7 linked regions of the Macaca mulatta genome follow. The main gene of each other region encodes a partner of the protein of the gene in region 5 in a complex. Links are inferred from orthologs where the notes say so. Each region holds a gene or a part of one and is shown on either strand. Other genes may lie near its edges. The genes, in order: CWC22, BUD13, CWC15, SRRM2, SNRPD2, LSM6 and CRNKL1.

Evidence for each region.
Region 1: SNRPD2 (region 5) and CWC22 share a complex: the UniProt entries of both Homo sapiens proteins name them as parts of the minor spliceosome. The link is inferred for Macaca mulatta from reciprocal best matches to the Homo sapiens genes SNRPD2 and CWC22.
Region 2: SNRPD2 (region 5) and BUD13 share a complex: the UniProt entries of both Homo sapiens proteins name them as parts of the minor spliceosome. The link is inferred for Macaca mulatta from reciprocal best matches to the Homo sapiens genes SNRPD2 and BUD13.
Region 3: SNRPD2 (region 5) and CWC15 share a complex: the UniProt entries of both Homo sapiens proteins name them as parts of the minor spliceosome. The link is inferred for Macaca mulatta from reciprocal best matches to the Homo sapiens genes SNRPD2 and CWC15.
Region 4: SNRPD2 (region 5) and SRRM2 share a complex: the UniProt entries of both Homo sapiens proteins name them as parts of the minor spliceosome. The link is inferred for Macaca mulatta from reciprocal best matches to the Homo sapiens genes SNRPD2 and SRRM2.
Region 6: SNRPD2 (region 5) and LSM6 share a complex: the UniProt entries of both Homo sapiens proteins name them as parts of the U4/U6-U5 tri-snRNP complex. The link is inferred for Macaca mulatta from reciprocal best matches to the Homo sapiens genes SNRPD2 and LSM6.
Region 7: SNRPD2 (region 5) and CRNKL1 share a complex: the UniProt entries of both Homo sapiens proteins name them as parts of the minor spliceosome. The link is inferred for Macaca mulatta from reciprocal best matches to the Homo sapiens genes SNRPD2 and CRNKL1.

Annotation. Positions count from the first base shown.
Region 1 is NC_133417.1:84,904,553-84,908,052, reverse strand, and holds part of CWC22 (pre-mRNA-splicing factor CWC22 homolog), read left to right. Parts: intron 1-1,950; coding exon 1,951-2,086; intron 2,087-2,177; coding exon 2,178-2,384; intron 2,385-2,470; coding exon 2,471-2,533; intron 2,534-3,500. UniProt on the Homo sapiens protein: Required for pre-mRNA splicing as component of the spliceosome. As a component of the minor spliceosome, involved in the splicing of U12-type introns in pre-mRNAs. Promotes exon-junction complex (EJC) assembly.
Region 2 is NC_133419.1:117,445,731-117,449,975, forward strand, and holds the start of BUD13 (BUD13 homolog), read right to left. Parts: upstream 2,801-4,245; 5' UTR 2,780-2,800; coding exon 2,637-2,779; intron 1-2,636. UniProt on the Homo sapiens protein: Involved in pre-mRNA splicing as component of the activated spliceosome. As a component of the minor spliceosome, involved in the splicing of U12-type introns in pre-mRNAs.
Region 3 is NC_133419.1:95,762,736-95,766,927, reverse strand, and holds the start of CWC15 (spliceosome-associated protein CWC15 homolog), read left to right. Parts: upstream 1-1,392; 5' UTR 1,393-1,485; exon of another isoform or gene 1,486-1,504; intron 1,505-2,811; 5' UTR 2,812-2,819; coding exon 2,820-2,950; intron 2,951-3,836; coding exon 3,837-3,949; intron 3,950-4,192. UniProt on the Homo sapiens protein: Involved in pre-mRNA splicing as component of the spliceosome. Component of the PRP19-CDC5L complex that forms an integral part of the spliceosome and is required for activating pre-mRNA splicing.
Region 4 is NC_133425.1:4,063,404-4,067,703, reverse strand, and holds the start of SRRM2 (serine/arginine repetitive matrix protein 2), read left to right. Parts: upstream 1-1,500; coding exon 1,501-1,637; intron 1,638-4,300. Other genes in the region: uncharacterized protein LOC144338337, read right to left, coding at 927-1,502. UniProt on the Homo sapiens protein: Required for pre-mRNA splicing as component of the spliceosome. As a component of the minor spliceosome, involved in the splicing of U12-type introns in pre-mRNAs.
Region 5 is NC_133424.1:58,224,554-58,226,607, reverse strand, and holds the end of SNRPD2 (small nuclear ribonucleoprotein Sm D2), read left to right. Parts: intron 1-302; exon of another isoform or gene 303-437; coding exon 438-617; intron 618-1,253; coding exon of another isoform or gene 1,254-1,279; coding exon 1,280-1,454; 3' UTR 1,455-1,554; downstream 1,555-2,054. UniProt on the Homo sapiens protein: Plays a role in pre-mRNA splicing as a core component of the spliceosomal U1, U2, U4 and U5 small nuclear ribonucleoproteins (snRNPs), the building blocks of the spliceosome.
Region 6 is NC_133410.1:154,723,737-154,727,938, reverse strand, and holds the start of LSM6 (U6 snRNA-associated Sm-like protein LSm6), read right to left. Parts: upstream 2,801-4,202; 5' UTR 2,741-2,800; intron 1,419-2,740; exon of another isoform or gene 1,315-1,418; intron 1-1,314. UniProt on the Homo sapiens protein: Plays a role in pre-mRNA splicing as component of the U4/U6-U5 tri-snRNP complex that is involved in spliceosome assembly, and as component of the precatalytic spliceosome (spliceosome B complex).
Region 7 is NC_133415.1:63,975,942-63,979,441, reverse strand, and holds part of CRNKL1 (crooked neck-like protein 1), read right to left. Parts: intron 3,177-3,500; coding exon 3,085-3,176; intron 2,260-3,084; coding exon 2,101-2,259; intron 1,696-2,100; coding exon 1,529-1,695; intron 1-1,528. UniProt on the Homo sapiens protein: Involved in pre-mRNA splicing process. As a component of the minor spliceosome, involved in the splicing of U12-type introns in pre-mRNAs.

The sequences.
Region 1 (3,500 bases), on a different chromosome or scaffold from region 5:
TCTTTTTTTGAGACAGAGTCTTGCTCTGTCACCCAGGCTGGAGTGCAGTGGCACAATCTTGGTTCACTGCAAGTTCCGCCTCCCGGGTTCACGCCATTCTCCTGCCTCAGCCTCCTGAGTAGCTAGGACCACAGTTGCCCGCCACCACGCCGGGCTAGTTTTTTTTTTTGTATTTTTAATAGAGATGGGGTTTCACCGTGTTAGCCAGAATGGTCTGGATTTCCTGACTTCATGATCCGCCCACCTTGGCCTCCCAAAGTGCTGGGATTACAGGCGTGAGCCTCCGCGCCTGGTCGTATTTAATATTCTGTAACATAACACTTTGATGCTAATCAAAACACTTTTAGATATTTTATCAGATTAATCTGACTTAATACTATACATGGTTACTTGACTGCAAACCATTCCTTTGAAGAACCATTCTGTTCACTTTTATAAAACAATAAAGTTGGTGTCTCCTCCACTTCATTCCCTGGTGTTCATGAGAATCTAATAAATACCTGCTATTTTACAAAAACCTCTATTCCTTGCCACCACATAGGTATAGTCATATATGTTTAGAATCACTTTGTAGAATAGAGTTGATCAATTTTAATCTGTTTCAAATGCAAGTAATTTTATCATGCTATTATTCAGTTTGTGTTTATTTTATATTCATTATTTGATGGTTTTGATTTAGCTTCTGTTTAACCATGAAAGTGGTAAAATTGTTCTTGCTCATACTCAAAAGTTTCCTTCAGATATATATTATCATTTCCAGTTTAATATCATGTACAACAGGAAGAATTTTAAAATCCTGCCTAGTCTTATTTCACTAATACTAAATGTTTTGACTCTTATTTATATGAAGATTCTTTCACTCTTAGAAATCTTTTAGATTTTGACCTAATTAGTCATATTATTACGGTGATAACTTGCTACTTAAGACCAAGGAAACTTAATTTCATATCTGTAACCACAGAGATATATTTCCATTTTTAAATGTGTATTACACTTAGGCTAGAGATTGTTGGCATTGCCATAAAACACTTGATATGATAAATGTTTTGCATCTTCTCAACTGTGGTAAAGGGCAGTATTTTCTTGTCACTGATAGAAGACTGTTTGACACCCCTCCTCCCCTAGTAAAAAGAAGTAGCGGGTGTCTTTGATGTTGTGCACAACTGGAAGAAGGTATCTCCTGAGTTGAGATTTAGACTTATTTCCTCACCATCTCAAATCATTGTCTGGCTTTAGAAAGGTGTATGTGTGGTGGTTTAAACATTCTTTGTAGTTCGTTTTCTTCTCATAGCAAAGCTTCTCAGTAGAATTTTGTTCCCTCTCTTCCTGGTGTTGTTTATAAATGTCAGTTTTTGAACATGGCCAGTAGAAATAGTTTGATATAATTTTTTTTTAAAAAGATGGAATATTCAAAACTGTTTTGTTCCAGAAGTTATTAAGATATTTTGTGATGAAATTAGTATTCGTGTAACTTAAGGACTATTTGCGTCTAATAGAGTTGCTGATAGAATGAATTGGGAAATGTATATAAAGAATTATGGTCATGAAGAAGGGTACTATAAATCATATTACTATTTCTCATGTAGTAATTATGAAAACAATTATCTTATTAGAAAGTAGTATATGATTTTTAACATATTTTATCTATGACACTTTCCGTACATAATGGCTAAGAATATTTCTTCTAAAGATAATTCAGATAGTTGTATTCAGCATAGAAAATTAAAATTTTTGGAACAGTCATCTGAAAATTCTTAGTAGATAGATAATAAAAGTGATAGAAAAATTGTATCCCGTATTTGGAGTATTTCCATGTACTTCATAAAACTTTGCCCATCATATGTGCAATATATTTATTGTAACAGATTTACTAATTTTTAGAAATCATAAAAATATTTTAATGTATGTAAAAGCATTTTCTTTCTTCCATCTATATGTATTCTATTTAAGGCACATGAAGTTTTATGCTTAGAGATGCTCACTTTACTCCTGGAAAGACCAACAGATGATAGTGTTGAAGTAGCTATTGGTTTTCTTAAGGAATGTGGCCTCAAATTAACACAAGTGTCACCAAGAGGAATCAATGGTAAGTGTACATTTTTAATTTGATGTTAAGTTTTTGTTTATTGTAATATTTATTGCTTATTTTATTGTCTTTTCTTTCTGTTAACCTTTAGCTATATTTGAACGCCTTCGAAACATTCTTCATGAGTCTGAAATTGACAAAAGAGTTCAATATATGATTGAAGTGATGTTTGCTGTACGGAAAGATGGATTCAAGGACCACCCCATTATCCTAGAAGGTCTTGATTTGGTGGAAGAAGATGATCAATTCACTCATATGCTCCCTCTGGAGGATGACTATAACCCAGAAGATGTTCTTAGTAAGTCTGGGGCATGTTAGGTGGAAAGAGGTATACCAACAAATGTAAATATAGAAAATAAACATTAACTTTAAAATTTTTTTTAGATGTTTTCAAGATGGATCCTAATTTTATGGAGAATGAAGAGAAGTACAAAGCTATTAAGAAAGGTATGTAAAATTTTATAAAATTAATTTGGATAAGTAGAAGCAATTTAAGTAGTTATGTAATACTGATAGGAAATATTTAGAGATCGTTGATACTTGCCTAATGAAATCTCTGCTCTTATAAAGTTATTCTCTTAGCTATTTCCTTGGGCATTATTTTTTTCCTGGTACTTGCCCATGATTTTTTACTTCATTCTGAATTACTGACCCCATTGTTCCTTTCCTCTTTCCCTTTAAACTATGCAACCCTTACATCTCACCCATCTTAAGAAATATTCATAGATTAGTAGTAGCCTTTATTTAGCTTCTCTACCACTTACAGTCTGTGCCACCCAGTTTAATATTCAATTAAGTGGTATACTTTATTGTAAAGTGCTATACTTTATTGTTTCTTGAGGTCAGGTTGATATCCTTCTGGGAAGATGAATTATAGTATTGGTGCCTCTCTGATAAAATAAATTGATCATTTTCATTTGTATATCATTGGTATACTGTAAGCACTAACTTTGGACAGGTTTTGATTTGTAATTTGTCTTTGACATTACTAGCTGAGTGACCTGTAGCAAGTTACTTGTTTGATGGAAGACTAAATGTTACCTTTCTATGGAAGGATATATAAAATACAGTGTTGTGTATTATCACAGACAATGATAGCTATTATTACTGTTACTATTTTCACATTTGTATTATTTTCCTCCTAAAGCTAACACTCAGGCCTATTTACATAATAATTTCATGGGCTTATTTCTCTTGAGTTGTAATTTTACTGGAGAAGTATTTATTGCTGTGGAAGCAATAAATATTTACCTTTGTATTAAACCCCAAAAGTTTGTATTAAAACCTCTCTGATTATAATAGAAATGTAGAGTCGGTTAGGTTTGTAAAATCTTTTATCAGGCTAACAGAGCACCATTGGGCAAAATATAATTTTAGTTTTTGTCATTTGTTTGCTTTTAACATAAAGACCAGC
Region 2 (4,245 bases), on a different chromosome or scaffold from region 5:
TTTTTTGAGACAGGGTCTCACACTGTTGCCCAGGCTGGAGTGCAGGGGCACCATCATGGCTCCCTGCAGCTTTGACTTCCTGGGGTTAAGTTATTCTCTCCACTCAGTCTCCCAAGTAGCTGAGACTACAGGCATGTGCCACTGTGCCTGACTTTTTTTTTTTTTAATTTTTTGTAGAAACAGGGTTTAACCATGTTGCCCAGACTGGTCCCAAACTCCTATATGCAAGCAATCCACCCGCCTTGGCCTCCCAAAGTGCTAGGAAACTCTTCCTCATTCCAGGAAACTCTTCCTCATTTTTCAGGTCCTAACACAAATTTAACTTCCTTTGGCAAACTTTTTTTTTTTTTTTTTTTGAGACGGAGTCTTGCTCTGTCGCCCAGGTTGGAGTGCAGTGGCACAATCTCAGCTCACTGCAAGCTCCGCCTCCCGGGATCGTGCCATTCTCCTGCCTCAGCCTCCCGAGTAGCTGGGACTACAGGCGCCTGCCACTATGCCCGGCTAATTTTTTGTATTTTTTTAGTACAGATGGGGTTTCACTGTGTTAGCCAGGATGGTCTTGATCTCCTGACCTCATGATCCGCCCGCCTCGGCCTCCCAAAGTGCTGGGATTACAGGCGAGAGCCATCGCACCCAGTCTGGCAAACTTTTCTTGACTGCTTCCCGGATTCCCCCACTATCTCACACTCACTCAAGACCACGGACCCGGCCGGGCCCAGTGGCTCACGCCTGTAATCCCAACACTTGGAGGCTGAGGCAGGTGGATCATGAGGTCAGGAGATCGAGACCAACCTGGCTAACATGGTGAAACCCTGTCTCTACTAAAAATACAAAAAATTAGCCAGGTGTGGTGGCGGGTGCCTGTAGTCCCAGCTACTTGGGAGGCTGAGGCAGGAGAATGGCGTGAACCCTGTAGTTGGAGCTTGCAGTGAGCTGAGATCATGCCACTGCACTCCAGCCTGGGGGACAGAGTGAGACTCTGTCTCAAAAAAAAAAAAAAAAAAAAAAGACTAAGAACTCTTGTTAAAAACTCTTGGAATACTTTCATTGCATTTATCATAAAGAAAATACACCAATTAGTTGTGTAATTAGTTGCTTAAAGCCTGTATTCCCACTAAACTATAAGCTCCACAAGAACAGGGACTATGTTTCTTTTTGTTCACAGAGGCATCCTCAGTAACTGGAATACAGTGTATTCAATAAATGCTTGTTACATGGATAAACTATAGTTGAGCCCCAATAATAACCATGACTGCCATGATGTGAAGTTATTCAAAAAGCCAGGGTCACTTAATGCAATCCCTCTAATCACAACCACCACTTCATAAAAGCATTATTATTCAGTATTATTCCCATTTTAAAGATAAGGAAACTGCAGTTCAGTGAGATGAAACACTTTGCCCAAGGGTACACAGCCTATAAAGTGGCACAGCTAGGATTCGAACTCTGACCAGTGCTGCTCCAACACTCAAGCTACTTTCATCACATGGCACTGCCTCCAAAGGATCCACACAAGTCAGCGAAGCAGAAAGACGAGGACAATAATAAGGCAAGCACCAAACCAGAAAACAACATGGACTAGTTCTTTAGAACAATGTGACTTCACTGGGTATCTTAGTGCCTTAGGGTTACTGTAACAAAGTACCACAAAATTGCGTGGCATAAAACAACAGAAACTCTCACAGTTCTGGAAGCTAGCAATCTGAAATCCAGGTGTCTGCAAGGCCATCCTCCCTGCAAAGTCGGTAGGGAAGGATCTTTCCTTGCCTCTCCCAGCTTCTGGTAGCCCCAGGCATACCTTGGCTTTTGGCAACATAAATCCAATCCAATCTCAGCCTTCATCTAGACATGGTCGTTTTTCCTTTGTTGCTGTGTCTGTATCCATACTTCCCTCTTTTTAAAAGGAAAACAGTCATTTTGTATTTGGCACCCACCTTAATCAAGTATGACTTCATCTTAACTGATTACATCTCCAAAGACCCTATTTCTAAATGTCACATTCTGTGGTTCTGGGTGGAAAACGATTTGGTAGGGCCCACTATATTGGGCCACAAAGTTTTCCCATTTGAAAATAATACCCAGTTCATGGTACTGTTGTAAGGCTTAAACAAACTTATGTTTAAATTTCTTATAATGTTGCCTGGCAAGAAAAGTATAATTATGTAAATGTTAACTTCTCTTGTTAGTAGGACTATTACTAAGAGTAACAGGAGGTGATCCAAGGTCTCTGATTCAGAACCAAGTCCTTGGGATTTGGGAATCCCCACAGGCAGGTACCGGGCCCTAAAGATTCAAGCACAGAGGCTTTGAATCCGCTCCATTATTCTCGGGGCGCAATATTCATTCTCCATGGGAGAGGACGGAAGTCTACCAAGGCGGGAAAAGAGTAATCAAAGTTACAGCCCGGCTCTAACGCACTGACGCTACTGCTCAGAGGCTCGAGGTGTAAGCGGGGCGGCAGAGGCAATGCGGGGCCTCAAGCGATGTGAGTGGGGCCCTGGGCATGAGCAGGGGTCGGCGGAGAAGCCGGGAGACCCGCCAAGAGGGAAGGAGTCACCAGGCGACCGAGGGCGGAGTTGGGAAGGGTGAGGGGTGGCGAGTCGTTGCAGGCCCCGCCCCGGCCGGTACCAACTCACCCCTTGCCGCCGGCCCCGCCAGGCTTCGGCCGCTTTTTGCGACGCTTGCGACCGGACTCAGACCCCCGGTCGACGCCGGCATCTGCCCCGGACAAGTAACGCTTCAGATACTCGGCCTTGGAAAGCGGCGGAGCTGCCGCCATGGCAGCGGCGAGGGCAGAGACGGGTCGGCGCTGGGGACAAAATTCCTCAACGCGTAACGGACGCCAGCCACCCGAGGGGGCGGGGCCAGGGCCGGAAGTGGCGGAGAGTGCTGAGAACTGCGCGGCTGGCAGGTGCCCTCGCGGGGGATGCGCTCACCTTCGGGGCGCTCCACAGCCCTGGGACGACGCCACCAGGTTTCTTCTCTTCATCCACCCACCCACCCATCCATCCAACCGCAGCAAGCGCTGTTCTGTGAGGCCACAACCTGACCCAAAAGACCCCGCCCCCAGAGGTTACCTAAACTGCAAAGCACGGGCAAGAAAGTGGAGGGCCACAGGCTGCAACGTAGCCGAGTTTGTTTTTTTTTTTTTTTTTTTTTTTGAGACGGAGTCTCGCTCTGCCGCCCAGGCTGAAGTGCAGTGGCCGGATCTCAGCTCACTGCAAGCTCCGCCTCCCGGGTTCTCGCCACTCTCCTGCCTCAGCCTCCCGAGTAGCTGGGACTACAGGCGCTGGTTCCATAGCTGGCTAGCTGTACTACCTCGGGCAAGTTATCACAAAGCGGGGAGAATCCCGGCACCTAACTCGGAATGGTCACAGGCTGAGATAACACTACTGTGTGAAGTGCGCAGAGCAGTGTTGGGCATATGGTGGGCGTATGGTCATCGGAACTATGTTCGTTATTTTTATAAGTATCTTCAAGTGGGGAGAATCTGCTCCACTAGGCTTCCAGGTACCTACCGTCTGAGAAGGGAAGCCAGGAAGTGCAAACCAACATAATTACTATGAAAAACGTAGTTTCTAAGACCTGTATAACTCTTCTGGTGTTATATTACAAGTAGCTCGCAGTTATCTTTTGAAGGAAACTAACATCTTGACAATGAAAAGGACCTGGATCTATTTTTAGCATAGCAAAAGAGAGAAACCAGAGAGAATGAATTCTAATACTCAAGTTTTGGGGGGGAAGAAAAGACTTTATTCTTGGCAGGGGTTTTAGAGCTTTACCTGAATTATCTCATTTAACCCTCACAATTCTCAAATCGTTTCAATATCACATTTTACAGATAAGAACTGAAGCTTGGCAAGATTTAAGAAGTTGCTCAACTTCACATAGCCAGAACATGACTCTTGGGAGTAGAGGCTAGCAAAGTGGGGTGCAAGAGGTCATCCAAATTTCTTGAAATATCTTTTTACCTTATCATATGTTAGATTGTCACTTTTTTATCGTTTTCTTCCCAGCTTTATTAAGGTTATTTGACAAAAATTATATATATTCAAGGTGTACAATGTGATGATTGGATATAATTATACATTGTGTAATGATTACCAAAATCAAATTAATTAAAACATCCTTCACTAGACTTATTTATGTACTAGTTTGGTGGGGGGCACTTAAATTTGTCTTAGCAAGCTTCAAGTAAACAATACAGAATTATTAGCTATAGTCAGTATGTTGTACATTCATTCC
Region 3 (4,192 bases), on a different chromosome or scaffold from region 5:
CATTAAGAAATGTGATTTTTATCCTAACTGCAGTGAAATTTTACACAGGATAGTAACACCATTTGATTAATTTTAAAAGATCACTCTCTTGGCTATATGCAGCATTGACTGTAGGATAAAAGATGACGCAGGAAGATACAATAGGAAACAATTACAATCCAGGTAGGAGATGGTGTTGGCCAGGACAAGGGTAATGGCAGTAGAATAAAATTTCGGGTAAGTTTTAAAAGTAGAATTGGTAAGACCTGTAAATGAACCGTATGTGAAAAGTGAAAGAAAAGGAATTTAAGTAGGCACTCTGGGATTTTGGTTTGAGTAACTAGTATGATGATCGTGTCCTTTAGTGAGACGTGTAAGACTGGAGGAGGGATACCTTTAGTAAGAAAAATCAAGATTTTCATCTTGAACTCTATGAGTGAAAGGGCTTTTTCTGCTTTTCTTTCTTCATTTAAAAGTTGCAAAGAATTTAGAGGTAAGAAAGCATTTAAATATTCAACTTTGTGAGTTCTTTATATTTTAAACTAAGTTGGGGAAGTTGAATTTTCATTTGTTTAACAAATATTAATTGAGCAGCTACTATATGTCAAGGTCTATGTGATGAGATACTAAGATTAGCTAAACAATCAAGATCTCTGTTCTCAGGATTTTTTTTTATGGAAGGGAGGAGACAGGATTGGTGGGTTTTTGGTTTTTGGGTTTTCTCCTTTTCGTTCTTATTAAAACTTAACACTTAAGTAGCCATCTTAGTAATTACATCTTGTGCTCCTGGCAGTTGGGCCCACCGTTCTAAACGCTGTCGTAAATATTGACATCTCCCCTCCCACTAAAACTAACGTTTTTTAAATAAAAAATTTTAGCAAACATTACGAATACAACCTTTGCTTTGAAGTGTTAATATTTTTGCAGGAATGTACCTTTGTAAAGATCGTGGTTGCCCCGTACATATTTGTTCTTTCTTCATATCCAATTAAATGAAAACACTAGTTTTTCCGAAGCCCAACTCTCTAGGTTTGTTGGTTCTAGCTCAGGAGAAAGGATGGAAGCAGGAGTCGTTGGATTTAAACAGTTTGGTGTAATCCTTTTCCACGCTCTCTCCCGCTAGCCGGGGACGTGGTGTCGGCTACCCGGGGCTTTCCGTCCACGCAGTACCGGAATGAAGGAGTCTGGGAGGGGGTCGGGGACGGAAAAGACGGAAGAGACATTAAGTAATTGGTTCTTGAAGGTATAAAATGATATTTAGGGTCTACTCTAAGGCACTGATTTCAAACGCCCGCCCCCTGGGCCGTTTCGGCCCCGCCCCTTAGTGCCGTTACGCCGACTTCCACTTCGGCCACTGCGGATTGGTCGTTGCTTCCGCCTCCGAAGCGCTTGGATTTTGCTTCCGGGTCGTAGGCGCTAGCCCTGGGCGCAGAGGTTTCTGGGAGCCCGGAGTCGTAATGGCGTCTGTATGATCTTCGGAGATTGCTGCATCGGACCTCGGCCAGTGTGAGCGGCAGGAGGATAGGTTATCTTCCTCATCCCGGTGGGACGGGAAAGGGCAGTTGGGGTCGGAGTCGGCGGCAGAGTGCAGAGTGCGGGCGGTGGAGGACCTAGAGCAGCGGGCTAGGGGCGAAACGGAGTGCCTGTCAGGCGCGTCCGGAGCTCTCGGGCCGCAGAGGAGATCGCAGCATAAAAGGCAGCGCGCCTACCGCGTAAAGCGAACCCCAGGTCCTCCTTTCACTACCCCTCGCACCCCTGCGGCGCTGGGCACGGGTTAAGGGGCAACGAGTTTCTGGTTATAGCCAAAGACTAGCTCACGAGAGGCCGGAGTGATAATTCCGTTAGTGTGTGGGAAGGGGCGGACTCCCAGCTCCAGATAACCCCGTTTCTTCTTTGTATACATGTCTCTTACTCTTTTTGAAAATTAGGAGAAAGCACTCCCCCCCCCCAAAAAAATCCTCCCAGTTCGCCCACCCTCCCCACACACTTGCTTTTCCGACACTAACAGGGTTTTAATGACTGCATCTGCTAGGCAGTATTCTTGTGACTGCTCCAAGCAGAAAGTAACTTAAGGAATGGGTCCCTGATTTTTGTCATCAGAATCCTCTGGGGCTGAGGTTCCTGTTTTGTTTTTGTTTTTGTTTTTTTTGAACAGTCCTTAAGTTATAACCCACAAACGATCTGATTTATAATATGATGCCTGTTGTAGGAGAAAATTGGCTCAACAAAAGGTTAAGAATTTTTTTCTATGTACCTGTCATTGAAGTTTAACACACTTTCCTTAGTAACTTTTTTCTCAGACACTTAGTAACTTTGTCAGTGATATTTTTTGTTTGTTTTTAGCTTTTGTTTCTACTAGCCTATTTGCTATTGTGTGAAGTTTAGATAAAATGCAAACCTTAGAGAGTCTGGTAGAGTAAGGTTGAGTTGGAAATTTTTAAAACTTAGTCATGGTGGTACTGTATTTTTCAAGGCTTTTGACATGTCAAGTGTCATAATTCTTATAGTAATCCTATGAGGAATATCTCCATTCCACGGATGACAGAAAGTTAAGCCAGGTGACTTGCTCAAGCCCATATAGTCAGAAGGAGAATAGGGATGCAAACTCAGATCTTCATGACAGAATTTTTTGTACTAAGACAAGCCTGAGAAGCCCTATTCGTTGTATGGCCTAAGCCTCATAATTTGTTTTCCTGAAAACTTTTGTTTAAGAAGATTAAGCAGGTTTAGGGGAATGAGTTTTAGAATTTATTTCACTAGTATGGATATTAATACTCTGTAAAATGAGTGTTTGTATTGTTGTAAATAACTTGATTATATTTTTCTTCAAAGCATAAAAGATGACAACAGCAGCCAGGCCAACCTTTGAACCTGCAAGAGGTGGAAGGGGAAAAGGAGAAGGTGATTTGAGCCAACTTTCAAAGCAGTATTCAAGCAGAGACCTACCCTCTCACACAAAGATAAAATACAGGTAGTAAGACTTTCTTTTTTTTCTTTCTTTTTTTTTTTTGTTGAGACAGAGTCTCGCTTTGTCGCCCAGACTGGAGTGCAGTGGCCGGATCTCAGCCCACTGCAAGCTCCACCTCCTGGGTTCACGCCATTCTCCTGCCTCAGCCTCCCGAGTAGCTGGGACTACAGACGCCGGCCACCTGCCCCGGCTAGGTTTTTGTATTTTTTAGTAGAGACGGGGTTTCACCGTGTTAGCCAGGATGGTCTCGATCTCCTGACCTTGTGATCTGCCCATCTCGGCCTCCCAAAGTGCTGGGATTACAGGCTTGAGCCACCGCGCCCAGCCTCTTTTTTTTCTTGTTCACAAAACAAGACCAAATCTGTTAAATGGCATGGTCATGATATAGTAGTATGTTCGAGTTATGTCACTTATCTATTATCATAGGATTAGAATGCAATAGGATGTTTAACACTAAAATTCTGCCCTGTGGTTTTAAAATGCAAAATTCCTACTAACCAGAAATTTTCGTATGTAGATACAACAATAAATAACAGAAATAATAATGCCTCAGAGAGATTATGCACTATCAGCACCAGTCAATATATTAAAAGTATTACTGTTAAGTTCTGAGTTGATAATACCAATAAAAATTAAAGACATTTTAATCACGTAAAGCCTTATTATAGGAAAATGCGTGATTGAATTTGGACTTCTTGAAATATTGGGAACATCACAAGAGTGGCTGTTAGTAACTTTCAGATTAGATTATGATCTTATCTACTTCCCTTTTTTATGCTTGAAGGACAAAGTCTCATTCCTGAATTGTCTTCCATTACCACAGTCGTGTGTGTGTGTATGTGTGTGTGTGTTTAAGTACCATTTTTGCCCTGGTTTGTTTCTACTTTAGACAAACTACTCAGGATGCCCCTGAAGAGGTTCGTAACCGTGACTTCAGGAGAGAGTTGGAAGAAAGAGAGAGAGCTGCTGCAAGAGAGAAAAACAGAGATCGTCCAACCCGAGGTACCAACACTATCCAAGACATTTATCTCTAAAATTATGTTGTTGATAGTTTTTCTTTTATGTAGCAACTGGAAAATATTAACCATTTGTTTGCTTTTACAGATTGATGTGAGCTGTAATACTTTCTTAAGTCATTAGAGATAACAATAACAAATATTTACCAAAGGCTTATTTGCCCAGGCACTGTGGATGTGATTTCACTGTGGATAATGCTTTCAGTGTGGGCTCCTCGTGCCCACAGGT
Region 4 (4,300 bases), on a different chromosome or scaffold from region 5:
ATTCGAGAACAGCCTGGGCAAGACCCTGCCTCTTAAAATCACGCCCAAATCGTAGTATCAAATATAAATCTTTGCACTCAAACGGACAGTTCATTACGTGGCACCGCGTCCTGTTGCGGATCAAGGCCACTTGAGTTGGTTAGGACAGCTAAGCCCACGTCTTGGGCTGCTCGCCAGCGGTGGGGCTAGATATGACCTTGTGCCCGAGCAGCCCAGCGTCTTACAACTCTGCTGTGAGGGACGGGGGCTGATTATCAGGTCCAGAATCACGAGTTTAGAAACATTAACAGGAAGTACGGTACCGAAAAGTGGAAAACTTTAAGGTGCTTATTATTTTTCTCCTGACTTGTTCCTGCATGTGCCGCTCCACGGGTATCACGTCCCGGGGGGACCCTGGCCTGGCTGCCCTACCGGAAGCGAAGCGAACTCCACCCCAGGGGCAGCCGTCTGGCCTCAGTCCAGTCTACATCGGGAGAGCGTGGCCCATGCCACAGGCAGCTGGTTGGGCCCCTGGCACAAGTCTAGGGCCTGCAGCCAGGCTCGGGGGCTCCGGGGGTGCCCGCTGGCTGGGGTCTGAGGCGGCTTCTCTCGGGTACGAGAAGGCCGACTGCTGTGCAGCCGCGGGCTCGCTCGGGAAACCCACACTTACACAAAAGCGGCAGCACCACTGTGCCTAGGCTATCGACTCCCAACATGGGGAGACAAAATGGCCGCCGCGCCCAGAGCCGAAATTACATCCGGGCTCCGCGACACGTACGAACCACAACTCCCAGAATGCTCTGCCTCGACGGCGGGAGGCGAGACGCGCTCGGGCCCCGCTTAGGTGGCGCTAGGCCCTGTGGCTCCTCCCTGCAGCGGAAGGCCTCCGAATACGCGGCGTCTTAGGTCGATTCCTCCATTCTTCGTTGCACTGGCCAACGGGACGCTTAGTCTTTTGGCAACGGGGTGAAACCTGCCTTGTGCCTGAAGAAACGATACTTCCCGTTGTGGTTTCGGCGCCTGCGCAAAAGGCTGCGGGACGCACTCCAGTTCCCGGCAAGCCCCGCGACGCGCGTTTGCGTGCTGACGCACGGAGTTAGTCGTGCTGACGTGCATCGCGGCCCAGGCGGGGTGCGAGTGGCGCAGTCGGAGCCCGCTGCGGCCCCTGAGGAAGCCAGGAGGCGTCGGCGTCGGCTGAGGCGGGCGGACCGGCGAGGCGAGGCGGCGGCCTCAGGCCCCGAGGGACTCGGGAGCTCGCGCAGCGGCGGCGGCAAGACCTCTCCCCCTCGGAGGCGGCGGGCGGAGGCGGCGGGTGAGAGGGTGAGGGAACCAGCGAGCCGGGTGGGGGAGGGGCGGCGGCCTCGGCGCGAGGCCAAAGCGCGCGGAGAACGGCCCAGGCCGCCGAGCTCTTCCGCGCGCACGCGCGCTCGCCGCCCTTCGCTGGCGCGGACACCTTCGCCTCCCTTCCCCCTTCCCGCCGTTCCTGTCGCGCGCGGGCTTCGACCCCCCCGTCCCTCCCCCATGACAACGGCGCTCGCAGCCGCCTGTACTGGGGTTCGCGAGCGCCCTTGGCGAGGGGGGAGCGCGCCGCCTCGGCTTCACTCCTCCCCACCACACGTGCGGCCGAGGGGCCTTCCCGCAGCTGCCGCTTTCGGCCCGTAAGTGGCGGGGAAGGGGCGGCGGCGGGGGACGTGCTCCCGGACCCTTGCCCCAGGCTCTCGATCTCTTGTTCTCGGGCTTCTCTTCAGCGTTGGGCTGCCCGTGCCAGGGGCCTCCCAGACTGCGGGACGCCGCGCAGCCCCCTCCCCCATTCCGCAAGGCCGAAAATAGGCCCCCGGCGCTGCGAGGAGGGCCTTGAACTCCGTGGGCCCGGTTTAAATGGTTTGGACTGTGCTATCAAGCCTTTGAGTTGTTAGTGGCGGGGAGAAACCCCAGATCTTAAAAATTGTGAAGAAAGTGAAGGCATTCAGTTTACATTTGTAAGGTAGACTGTTCCTTTTTTTCTTACACTTTTTTAACATTTCCTGAGAATTCGTGTTAAAACTAAGGAGGCTTCTGGAGACCTTCGTTGGGAAGAAAACGCCAGACTCGTATATAAGTTTTCTGGTTGGTTTCAGGCGTTATTTGGCACACAGCTCTTCTGAAGCTTGGTTTCCACTCGCCTTCAGTTAGGACGAATCTGGATCAAAATTTCAGAATGTTTTGTTGCCTTTCATCCTAAGTGCGTGGGCTTAGGGCTCTTCTAAAGCTACTATTTTAGCTTTCTGGGTTCTTTGTGTCCACTCAGCCGCGCTGGAGCGCCCCGGTGCTGAGCTGGCTGTGCTTCCTGAGGTCCATTTTCTTGGACAACCCTTGTGTCCCCTTTTGGTACCGTTTCCTTTTTTGCATATTTTAATGTTGAATTTAAGGATATCTTTCTACTTCCTTGTTAGCTTGGCACTCTGATAGTTTCCCAACAGAAAAGGGTCTTTTTGTCTTTCTTTGTACCTTTTATTTTCTGCTTTTACCTTGGTTAACTTTTGCATATCCGCTGTCTATGGCCCCCACTTTAAGAGTTTTATAAAATCGTTTGGTTTGGTGATTTGTGTGTGGTGTCGATGTTCCTACTTTCCGTGTCTTAGCACCCCCTTAGATGCTGTGGGGTCGTCGTCTTTTTTTGTGAGGTAGGGGTGGCTCATTCCCTAAAAGTTCTCCGAAACATTGTGACCTAATATCCTTTGCTTAGCACCTACTGGTTTTCCTTTTTTTTCTTTCTTTTTTTTTTTTTTGAGACGGAGTCTAGCTCTGTTGCCAGTCTGGAGTGCAGTGGCGCGATCTCAGCTCACTGCAACCCTCCGCCTCCCGGGTTCAAGCGATTCTTCTGCCTCAGCCTACGGAGTGGCTGGGATTACAGGCACGCGACGCCCCCCAGCTAATTTTTGTATTTTTAATAGAGACTGGGTTTCACCATGTTGGCCAGGCTAGTGTCAATCTCCTGACTTGGTAATCTGCCCACCTCGGCCTCCCAAAGTGCTGGCATTACAGGCGTGAGCCACCTTACTCGGCCTGGGTTTCCCTTCGGTTTTCCCTTCTTAGGGAGTGGGAGGATTTTTGTGTGAGGTGGTATGGAAGTGTGGGTGAATGGTTGAGCTGAAGAATTAATTGCAGGTCAAAGACATGCCTGCAAGGGAAGCAGAAATTTGGTGGGGTAGGGAGAGGCAAAGAAGGACCTAGTTTTAAACTGTGGGGAGGATTGGAACTAGAAGATGAAAATGAGGATGGGGGTGTAGAGAAATTGATTTTTTGAGTCATAATGTTTTTCATTTTTTCCTGGATTTTTGCTTGCCTTTTCCAGGTTTAGTTTCCTCTGTCACCTTCTACTTTCGATATTGGGTCTGCTACTGGGATTGGGTAGGGACCCATCCTTAGTCTAGGGTGAGGAGGTATGGGCTAGCACCCTTCTATATACTCTGTGTGCGTGCATGCACTAGTATATTTTTCCAAACATTTGTATGATGCTTCTTCATTCTGGAATTTTCTAAATGCATCCTTCCCTTTTATCCAGTTCTTTTACGTCTTTGATCACTCTCTCCACTTTGTCTATTCCATAGGGTTTTTTCTGGGTAGTTTTTCCTCATACGTGTATGTTCTAGGAAACTATCTTGGAGAGGATGAGGATGAGAAAGAGAGTATGTGTAGCCAAGGAATCTCACTAGAAAAGCTGGGACTTGAGAATTTTTCAGAGTCACATCAGGGTTGGGACTAGTTGAAAGGCTAGAACTTGGGACGAGGCATGGGGTTAACACAGGAAAGAAGGAAGCGGCAGGGCTGGGAGAAAAAAAACTAGGAAGTGCTATCCAGGGGATTGGTGGGGAAGGCCAACAGTTGGAGATTAATGAAAGTGGGGTGTAGAGAGGGTTTCTAGATAGATTTAGAGCAAGGAATATGGAGAAGGTATGGGAACGGTTGGAACAGAGACTGATTTGATGTGTTTAAATAGAGCAGAGTTGAAAGCAGATAATATTTGACAGCTGGCAAGACTTGGAGGAACTGCAAATTGTAGTAAATCCTATTGAGAGGAAAGAAATTGGAGGAATTGGAGGAATAAAAGATCAGGATGGTTGATAGGATCTTTAAATATTTGGAATCAAGGAAATGGCCCTTACCTGGGAGGTGAAGTGTATGAAGATTATCCAAGGTTCATGTGTGTTTCTGATGTGCGTGCTGACCTTTAGTTGGGGTGTGAGGCTGCACATTCTGAACCAAGTAGTCTGCTGTTCAGATACCTAGGGACTGTGTAGTTTATTTCGTATTCATATAGGGTGGTCTGAAATCCGTAGGT
Region 5 (2,054 bases):
TCAGCACTTCGGGAGGTCGAGGCGGGTGGATCACGAGGTCAGGAAATCAAGACCATCCTGGCCAACGTGGTGAAACCCACTGTCTACTAAAAATACAAAAATTAGCTGGGCGTGGAGGTGGCGCGCGCCTGTAGTCCCAGCTACTCAGGAGGCTGAGGCAGGAGAATCGCTTGAACCCAGGAGGCAGAGGTTGCAGTGAGCTGAGATCGTGCCTCTGCACTCTAGCCTGGCAACAGAGCAAGACTCTGTCTCAAAAAAAAAAAAAAAAGAAAAGAAAAAGAAAATGTCTGTTAGGCATCCAGCTGGTGATACTCAGAAGGCCAAACAGGACGGATGTGATGGGACAAGGCTGGGGAGACATTGAGGCTGAGGCCCTGACCACCCATCCTCACAGCTCCAGCCTCTCTCACTTGTGGGTTCCATGTTTATCCATGCAGGAGCCTCCTCAACAAGCCCAAGAGTGAGATGACCCCAGAGGAGCTGCAGAAGCGAGAGGAGGAGGAATTTAACACGGGTCCACTCTCTGTGCTCACTCAGTCAGTCAAGAACAACACCCAAGTGCTCATCAACTGTCGCAACAATAAGAAACTCCTGGGCCGTGTGAAGGCCTTCGATAGGTGAGTGCTGGGTCCTGGGAGGTGTTCTGTGCAGGCCTAGAGAGGCTGCCCTAGCTCCAGTCTGAAGAGCTCAAAGACAGGTTTCTCAGACGCCTGGGGTGTATGGCCCAGGGTGGTGGCTCATGCCTGTAATTCCAGCACTTTGGGAGGCCAAGGCGGGTGGATCACCTGAGGTCAGGAGTTCGAGACTAGCCTGGCTAACATGGTGAAACGGCATCTCTATTAAAAATATAAAAACCGGGCGTGGTGGTGCACACCTGTATTCACAGCTACTCAGGAGGCCGAGGCACGAGAATTGCCTGAACCCAGGAGGCAGAGGTTGCGGCGAGCTGAAATCGCACCACTGCACTCCAGCCTGGGCAACAGAGCGACACTCTGTCTCAAAAAAAAAAAAGAAAAAAAAAGATAATATTCAACGACCTTGTGAGGAAGGTACTGTGATTGTCTTCCCTCTTAAAGATGAACAAACTGGCACAGAGAGGTGCAGTCCTTTGCCTCAGCCTCAACCTAAGGACTGGCAGAATTGGCCTTGGCAGCTTGGTCATCCAGCCTAGCACCTGCATCCTTCCCCAAGCCATGCTGCTGGAGGGGGCGAGCAGCAGGCAGCGCTGTCAGAGGCACCCCCCTCACACCCAGTGCCTCCCCTCCCTGTTCCCCACCAGGCACTGCAACATGGTGCTGGAGAACGTGAAGGAGATGTGGACTGAGGTCCCTAAGAGCGGCAAGGGCAAGAAGAAATCCAAGCCAGTCAACAAAGACCGCTACATCTCCAAGATGTTCCTGCGTGGGGACTCGGTCATCGTGGTCCTGCGGAACCCGCTCATCGCCGGCAAGTAGGGGCTGCCTATCCATCGACAGAACTCACTCTCTCGTCCTATGAAGACCATTGCCATTGGTGTTGAGAATAATAAAGCTCTGTGGTTTTTTTCTAGTGGTATGTGTTCCCAGAGCCTTGTGAGTGGGGTGGATTCAGGAGGGCTTGGGGGAGGCAGCTAATATCAAATTGAATGCTGGGACCAGGACCCGTGAGCAAGTGGAGAGGCCCTGGCTCTGCCCCATCGAGGCCTCACTTTCCCCCTCCGCAAAGCAAACAGGTTGGATGGAAATGAGCACCCAGTTGTGGCACTGGAGAATATTTTAGTTCTCCTGCTTTAATCTTTCTGAGCTTCGCCTTGTCACTCTGTTGCTCTCTTCTCTGCCTCTTAAAATGAATTGGCCTCGCTTGACCAAAATATCTTTTGGGGCCAGGCATGGTGGCTCACGCCTGTAATCCCAGTAGTTTGGGAGGCTGAGGCGGGCAAATCACCTGACATCGGGAATTCAAGACCAGCCTGGCCAACATGGTGAAATGCTGTCTCTACTAAAAATACAAAGATTGGCCAGGCGCAGTGGCTCACGCCTGTAATCCCAGCACTTTGGGAGGCCAAGGCGGGTGGA
Region 6 (4,202 bases), on a different chromosome or scaffold from region 5:
AAGCAAAAACTTGCAAGGAAACATTACAATCCAAGTAACTGCAGCACTAGACTAACAGATCAGTGTCTGAGGAGGCGATCAGACACGGAGAAGAACAGCTCTCCAAGTCCTCCCTTCTGACACAGTGGAGTGCCTCGCTGTCTTGTGAAGGCTTCATACCAATCCCTCCTTCCTGAGCAGCAGGCGCTACTTCTCTCCCTCTCTCCCAAAGGCGAAGTGAGTCCACTCAGAGCACCTCTTTCCACTCTCGGTCATGGTCCTTATCAGGCTGCTTTGTAATTTTTCCATTTGCTGACAGGTCTCCCATGGTGAGTTTTAAGCTCCTTGGGGACAGGGGAAATATCCTACTCACTTGGTATCCCTGGTACCTAAGCACACTGCCCAAGTCTGTGGAAGAGACATTCAAGGCCAGTGCCAAGCAAAATCCCTGTCCAGCCCCCACCAACCCAAACTATGGATACAGTGACTAGTAGGATCATGCACGTACTTCAACAAATACTAACCAAGTAATCTCTATTAGGACCACCAAAGACGGAGAAAACAACCCTTTCTGTCATTCAAGAACCAGCTGTTTCCAAATCTAGAGATGCTTGTTAAAATGCAGATTCCTGAAGTCTACTCAGGTAAAAGCACTGTATTTTACATTTTATGAAGTTCTCCAGATAATTTATTTAAGCAAATGGTTCTCAACTAGGGGCAGTTTCCCCAACCCCACCCCACCCTGCTCAGGGACATTTGGAAGTATCTGGGGACACTGAACTGTCAAGACTGAGGAAGGTGGTGCTACTGCTATACTAGTGGGTAGAGACCAGGGATGTTGCTAAACATTTTACAACAGGACCGCCCTCCACAACAAAGGACTGTCCAGCCCAAAATGTCAATGGAAGCTGAGAATCTCCGCTATAAGCCCTAAAAAAAAAAACCACCAACAACATTGTTCTTTGGTTTTAAAGTGAGGAGTTTTAAAGAAATCTCCAAAGTACAGCAAATGATAACCAAAAGCTACATTCTAACCAAATGATGGAGTGTAGATTATAATTAATCAGGGATGTTTTATTCTAACATAAAGGGAACCTGAAAACAACTGTCAAAATCTTGAAGGGGTTGCCATTCTAAATAATGGATTTCTAGTCTTAGCCATGAAAATAATCACTTTCCAATTTCTCAGTGTTACAGGTCCCTCCGATCATTAATCTGTTAGTACACTTTTAAAAGGAGAGAATAATCCAGGTGATGTAAACAAATTTTTAAATTCTAATATCTACTATGCCACAGTTCAGTGAGAGACTGCCTGATGCAGCACAGGGTACTCACTTGGGAGGCAGGAAACCTGAGTTCTAATCCCAGCTCTGCTACTTAATTAGCTGTGTGACTTGGATAACTCATCATTTCACTTCTCATGGCCCCAGGTTCCTCATCTGCAAAATAAGGGAGTTATGCCAGATGACCACTTAAGTCTCTTCCTGCCCTAACATTCAGGTAGTAACGCATTAACTCCAGTGACACACACACACACACACACACACCCACAAACATAAGCCTCTCAAGATTTCTGTACAATATTCAAGCAAGTAAAATTGCCAAACACCTGAAAAACTTTTTTGGAAAACACTGCAGCAATGTGTACGAAGGCCTAAAAAAGGCCTTACAGATGAAAGCATCTAATCTGATAATTTCACTTCTGAGAATCTAGTCCAAGGAAATAATCTAAAAAATAGGGGGGAAAAGGTTTATCAAAGTATTATCTGGGGTGCTAAGAGATTCAAAAATTCAAAAACAATCTATAATATCCCACAATCGGGAAATGACTGAATAATTTATGGGACCTACATTGCGATCCACAATGAGGGACAGTCAATCAAAAGAAGATACAAAACTAGAATAATATTTAGGAAGAGTTTTTAAATGGAAGTGGTAAACTATACTGTTAAGTGATTAAACATGTACACTCCTAGCTCAAGTAGAAGCTAGCATACACAGGAGAAAAAGATTGTAGGTGAAAGGGTTGTGAATACTATTTCTTCACTAAAGTCTTCCATGTTTGCAATTTTCTACAATAGTCACATATTACTAAGAGCAGTGGGGTAGGGTAATCCGCTTCATCCTAATGCTACACATCTTAAAAACGCCTGCTATGCACGCGCGCGGACACGCGAACGCACAGAAAACCTCGGGCAATAGGACTTAAGACCATACAATTGGGTTCCTAGGCCTGACAACTCAGTAAGACAGGCGAGTCGAGTCCTTAATTCCTGTGGTCAGGCGCAGCCACCCCGATGTAGGGAAGGGTTAGCAATTCCCTGAAGCCCTGGAAGACTGGCGAAGCCTAGGCCTGGGTTCGGGATCCGCTTTCCCGCCGAATCCTGGGATTAGCCTCGGGGCTCCCTGGGGAACTTCAACAACCTCAACTGGTCTCGGACGCCAACTCGGTGGGAGCCGGGACGGTGCCGCTACTCTCTGCGCAGTCTAAGCACCTCGCTGAGGGCGGTCCCGGCGCCCACTATCAGACCTCTCCGGCCATTCCGTGAGCGGAGAGCTTGGACGCGGCATTTCGCGGAAAGCTGCCACTCAGCGGCCCCTTCCCGGAGCCCCAGCCCGTTCCCCTCAGGCCCTTTCCGGGGCTGCCTCGCCCGGCCTAGGGCCGCTGCAGCCGCCGCTCCACAGCGCGACTGAACACTGGGGCGTCGAACCCGGGGCTACGCCCGGCCCCGTCATCGGCCCGCGCAGCCGTGCGGCTCACCTCGCGGGCGGGATCCAGAACCCTCACTCCAGGCGCCCCACGAGTCCGGCCTCCGCGGATGATCGCAGCCAAAAGCGAAACCGCCGAGGCAGCGGCACTTTTCTGCCTCGGCCAATCACTGCTCTTCTCTGCTACGGCAGCCCGCTGGGGCCGAAAAGCCTGTCAGCGCCGAAGCGCGCAAATCCGAGAATCCTGTTTTGTCTAGTAGCAAAATTGGTGCACTGGAGTTCCTCTGACAGAAATCTGAATACAAAACAAATATAATATAAAACAAAAACAAAAATCCAGGAAACTAGAAGTGATCTTTTGTCCAGGATTTATTTGCAGAAGTGTAAAAAATAACTTGAAGTCATAGGAAACTGGAATTTACTGTTTAAGTAACGGCACTGTGTACCCAGAAACGTCCTTGAATAGTTTAAAGCAAATAAATAAATAAAACACCTCAAGTCTTTAAATCTACCTCTGGATATTTATTAAATGTGTGAAGACTTAAGCCATTTTAGCAAGAGACTGTTTCCATGGCAATGTTGATTAAAAAATAATTAAAATCACTCAAGTAACTCCGAATTATAATGACATTAATTGTGTTACATTAAAAACTTGTTCCAATTGGAAATGGTGTGCAGACATTATTTAAGTGCTACTATGGGAACTTGGTTTGGAATTTTGCATGAATTCTCAACACTCTTTCTATTAATGGGATTGGAAGGGGGAAAAAAGAGAACTGTTACCCCAAGACTTGATTCCTTTACTCTCATCAGCTGAAAACTTACTTTAATTTTATTTATGGTTTGTAACGCTACACACAAAGCAATAAGATCTTCCAACACAGATCCTTAACCCCATTAGGTGTTATAAAATCTAAGATGCAGAATTTTTTTCTGAGATAAAGAATTCCTCCCTTGTAACCTTCTTTTGGCTAAAGGCAGAAGAAATGAACTTTTGATTGATATCAGGGACAGAAAACAAGTGGATGTGATTTGGTAAAGAATAGAGACTTCCTTATATCCTTCTATAAAAGCTCAGTTTGGGTAAAGACCAAACAGTTACTGATTTATTGAGAGGACTGTATTTGAAGTTCTTGCAATATAAAATATAATATAAATAAAAATTTTAAGAAAAGTACTGTTTAAATCAAATAATTACTTGCAAAGTACAAACATAACAGGATAAAAAGGCCTGTTCCTAAAAACTTTCTTTGCAAGACATCAAATTGCACATTCCTTACTGGTTGTTTAAATTATTAAAAAAAAAATAAAATAAAATTTTGATTCAAACTTCTTTCCCTTTCCTACAGAGCCCTAATTGAGCTGTTAACACTAGCGTGGTGGGTAGGGAGCCATGAGGAGTTTTAAGGGCCTAGTTCATCTGCAGAGCAGCTGCAGCCTTCTCCAAGGGCAGTAGCTGGGTAAGGGCCCAGTTTGACACACGGGGTGGGCATCCTGAATTATTTCATGAGCTA
Region 7 (3,500 bases), on a different chromosome or scaffold from region 5:
CTCAGCTCCCTCATCTGTAGGATGGAGAAGTTCCTACACTGCAAGGTTGTTATGAGGATTAAACCACAATATTTGTAAAGTACTTAGAATAATGCCTGGCACATAGCAAGTACTATAAAAGCTTTTGTCAAACTAATAATATTAAAATTACTAGACATAATTAAGATCTTAACACTGTCACCTAAAGAGAGAAGAGTAAAAAAATAAAAAGATCTTAATACTGCATTGTAAAGTTGATTCTCATTATTTGTGGTAGTTATGTTCTATGTAGTCACTGCAAACACTTAATTATTGAGTATTGAACCACTGTGCCTAGGGGAAACATGTATATATACAATCTCACATTCATGATCATCTTAAATCCTAAAAAGAACTCATCCTAGCAGATTCTATCTTCATTATTTTGTAAGAAAAGTGATTCAGAAATGTTAAGCGATTGGACTGAGGCTGCCCCACTGACAGATTCAAACTCCCCAACTGGCCCCAGGGCCGGAGCTCCTTGCACTACATGGCACTGGCCCTTCCTGTCTCCAAGCTCTGGGCATGGTTATACGAGGTTAAGACCAGAAGGCAGAGCCTCGCCTTGCTGGACTTCATGCTGTGTGCATGTCCACAAATGACTGTGAAAGTGCCACAATTACTGATTTTTGGGGTTACAAATAAATTTTAGCAAATATGTGATTTTGCAAATATGGAATCTGTGAATAATGAGGAATGACTGTACTTCAGTTTCAAAAGTGCTTTCATGTGTATCATTTAATCTTCACAACAGCCCAACAAAGGTGTTTTTATTCTTGTTTTTAAGAAGAGGACACGAAGACTCAAAGGAGTTAAATGACTCACTGGAGCCACACAGCCAATAAACAGTAAACCTTTGATGAACTCCAGTAACGGTAGTAATGACCAACACCAACCTTAGAAAAACAGGACTGGCAAGGGCAGCCAGAACCTTAGTACAGTTAGTCCTCCAGCCATGGGTTCCATATCTGTAGATTCAACCAACCCGAGATAAAGTATTCATGAGAAAAAAGTGCTTCTATACTGAACATGTAGTTTTTTTGGTTATTATACCTTAAAATACACAGAATAACAATTATTTACATAACATTCACATTACATTAGGTATAAGTAATCTAGAGATTATTTCAATTATATGGGGGGCTATGCATACGTTACATGCAAATACTACATCATTTTATATCAGGGACTTAAGCATCACCGATTTTGGCATCTCCTTGATGTCCTGGAAACAATCTCCCAGGAATATCATTTTCCATGAGGAAACATTAGTTTTCAGCACTACAATAAAATAAACCCAAACTCTCACTAGAAAAGACTAATTACCCAGATCACAAATTTTCATTCTGACCAATCTCTTTCCCTACAAAACATAGGGAAGCTGATAAACTGGCATTCTTGACTTCTAGTCTGATGTCAATGACTGTGTGTCCTGACCATGAGACACCTCTACAGGAGCAGCAGCACCCAGGACAATCATGGCACCACTCAGTTCTCGTCCAAAGGATATATCGCTCATAAATGGTGCGGGCCCGATCCACCTCTTTGTATCTCAGTTCAAAGTTGATGTAGGAGTGCCAGGCTTGCTCCTCAGGCTGCCACTCCATCCAGCGCTCAAACACCTGCCGGGCACCGGCAATGTTTCCCAACATTTCCTCCATGTATGTGTACTTGTACCTTTAACAAAATCACCCGAAAATATCTGCTGTGGTTTAGTTCTCCCATTGTTGAATGGGAGGAAGATTTAAGATTTTATCTTTCTTAAAGGTTAAATCGAACATGTTTTGTTATTGAAATATAAATCTGAAAAAGGGTGAACCATTGGAAAAAAAGATTTTTTATTAAAAGTTGCCTAGTTCAACAAGAAGCTTATGAACAAAAGATTGCAACCAAAATTTTAGTTTTGATTACATAGCTGTAGAACATCACAATTATGACTTAACAGACTATGGGACATTAAAAAGCATTTATGTTTAAAGAAAAAGTAGGATGTAAAATTAAACTATCATCATGTAAATAAAATAAATACAGAAAATGTGGAACTTTTCTAGGCTACAAAAGGCTGTTTTATCAGAAACTTACCAGAACTGATTGACTCGAGGCAGCGTTGTTATGGCCCGGTCCCAGATATTTCGAGCATGGTTGACTTGGCGATTCTTCATCTCCATTTCTGCATATTTCAGCCAGAGTGTAATATTTCGATAGTCTACATCTAAAGCACGCTCGTATATGGATCGAGCCCTTAAGAAGCAAGATTTGCAGGGCATCAAAAGTAGTGCACACAACACATGCAGCGGTTATTTCACACTATCTGGAATGCCCTGATGTTTTATTAGGTGTCTACCACGAGCCAGGTTCTGGGCATAAGATGATGAAAAGATATAATGCTCTCAAGTACCTTACAAAGTCTTATAGAAAGACATGCATGCAATTATAATGCAATGTGATTTATGTTATAGTCAAGATCTGCACAGGAAGCAGAGAGGAAGAAATGAAAATGTCTGGTGGAAAAGGCTAAGTAGTAGGTAACTCTAGAAACAAGAACTCGAGGCAAGTTCCAATTTACCAGGAAACTAAGGTTGGTGTGGAGGGGGTGCTCATTCCAGGCGAGGAGAACAGCCAAGCCTCACAATAAGGAGACATGATATATTCAGGGAGTGGCACGTACACAGGCGCAGCGGGGGAAGGAGGTATGAGGGGAGAATGCAGAAAGCGAGACAACAGGAAGGGCCAGATTGCAATTTTTATTTTTTTGGCCATTGGTTTTCAGCTAAACATTAAAAAAAAAAAAAATCTCAATATATAGAAAGCAGATGAAATTGTGCTACTTTAGCTACAGCTGACAAGATCAATCTGTAAAGTGTCTCCCGCCCCGCCCTCCGGGACTATTCTACCCCAGTGCTCCTGAGGCCCTCAAGGGAACCCTAGGGTTTCATGGAACCATAGTTGACAATTTCTACCCGAGGCACAATCTTTTATCTGTGCTTTAACTTTTTCTTCTTTTCTTTTTGGTATCTGTTAACCTATGAATCATTATACACAAAACTACACTTTCAGCAATTTTACCTCTGAATCTCCTTTAGGCTTTCTTCCCATTGTGCGTATTTTATCCAGTTACTAATTACAGTCCTGTTTTTTCTTATGTTATCTTCAAAAGTCTGGAAGAAGGCAAAAAGGGTCAAGTCAAAGGGCAAATGACTAAAAATGACAGCACCCTTGGTCTATTTTAAGTCTTGTACTAAACTGGTTATTCATTTCGTTCATATTTAAGAGAAATTACATCCTGGAATCCTTGAGGAATAAGAAATCCACTACAGAAGGTTACAATCAACTAACTGATACTTTAAAATAGTCTATGCTTGTCCCTAATAAAAAATATTTTGACTATTACCCGTAAGTCCTCTGGTAACGTTCAGAATTTCATATATAACAGAATTCATGCTTTAAAACAGTCCCACATTCTAGAGTGAAGAGGTCAAATC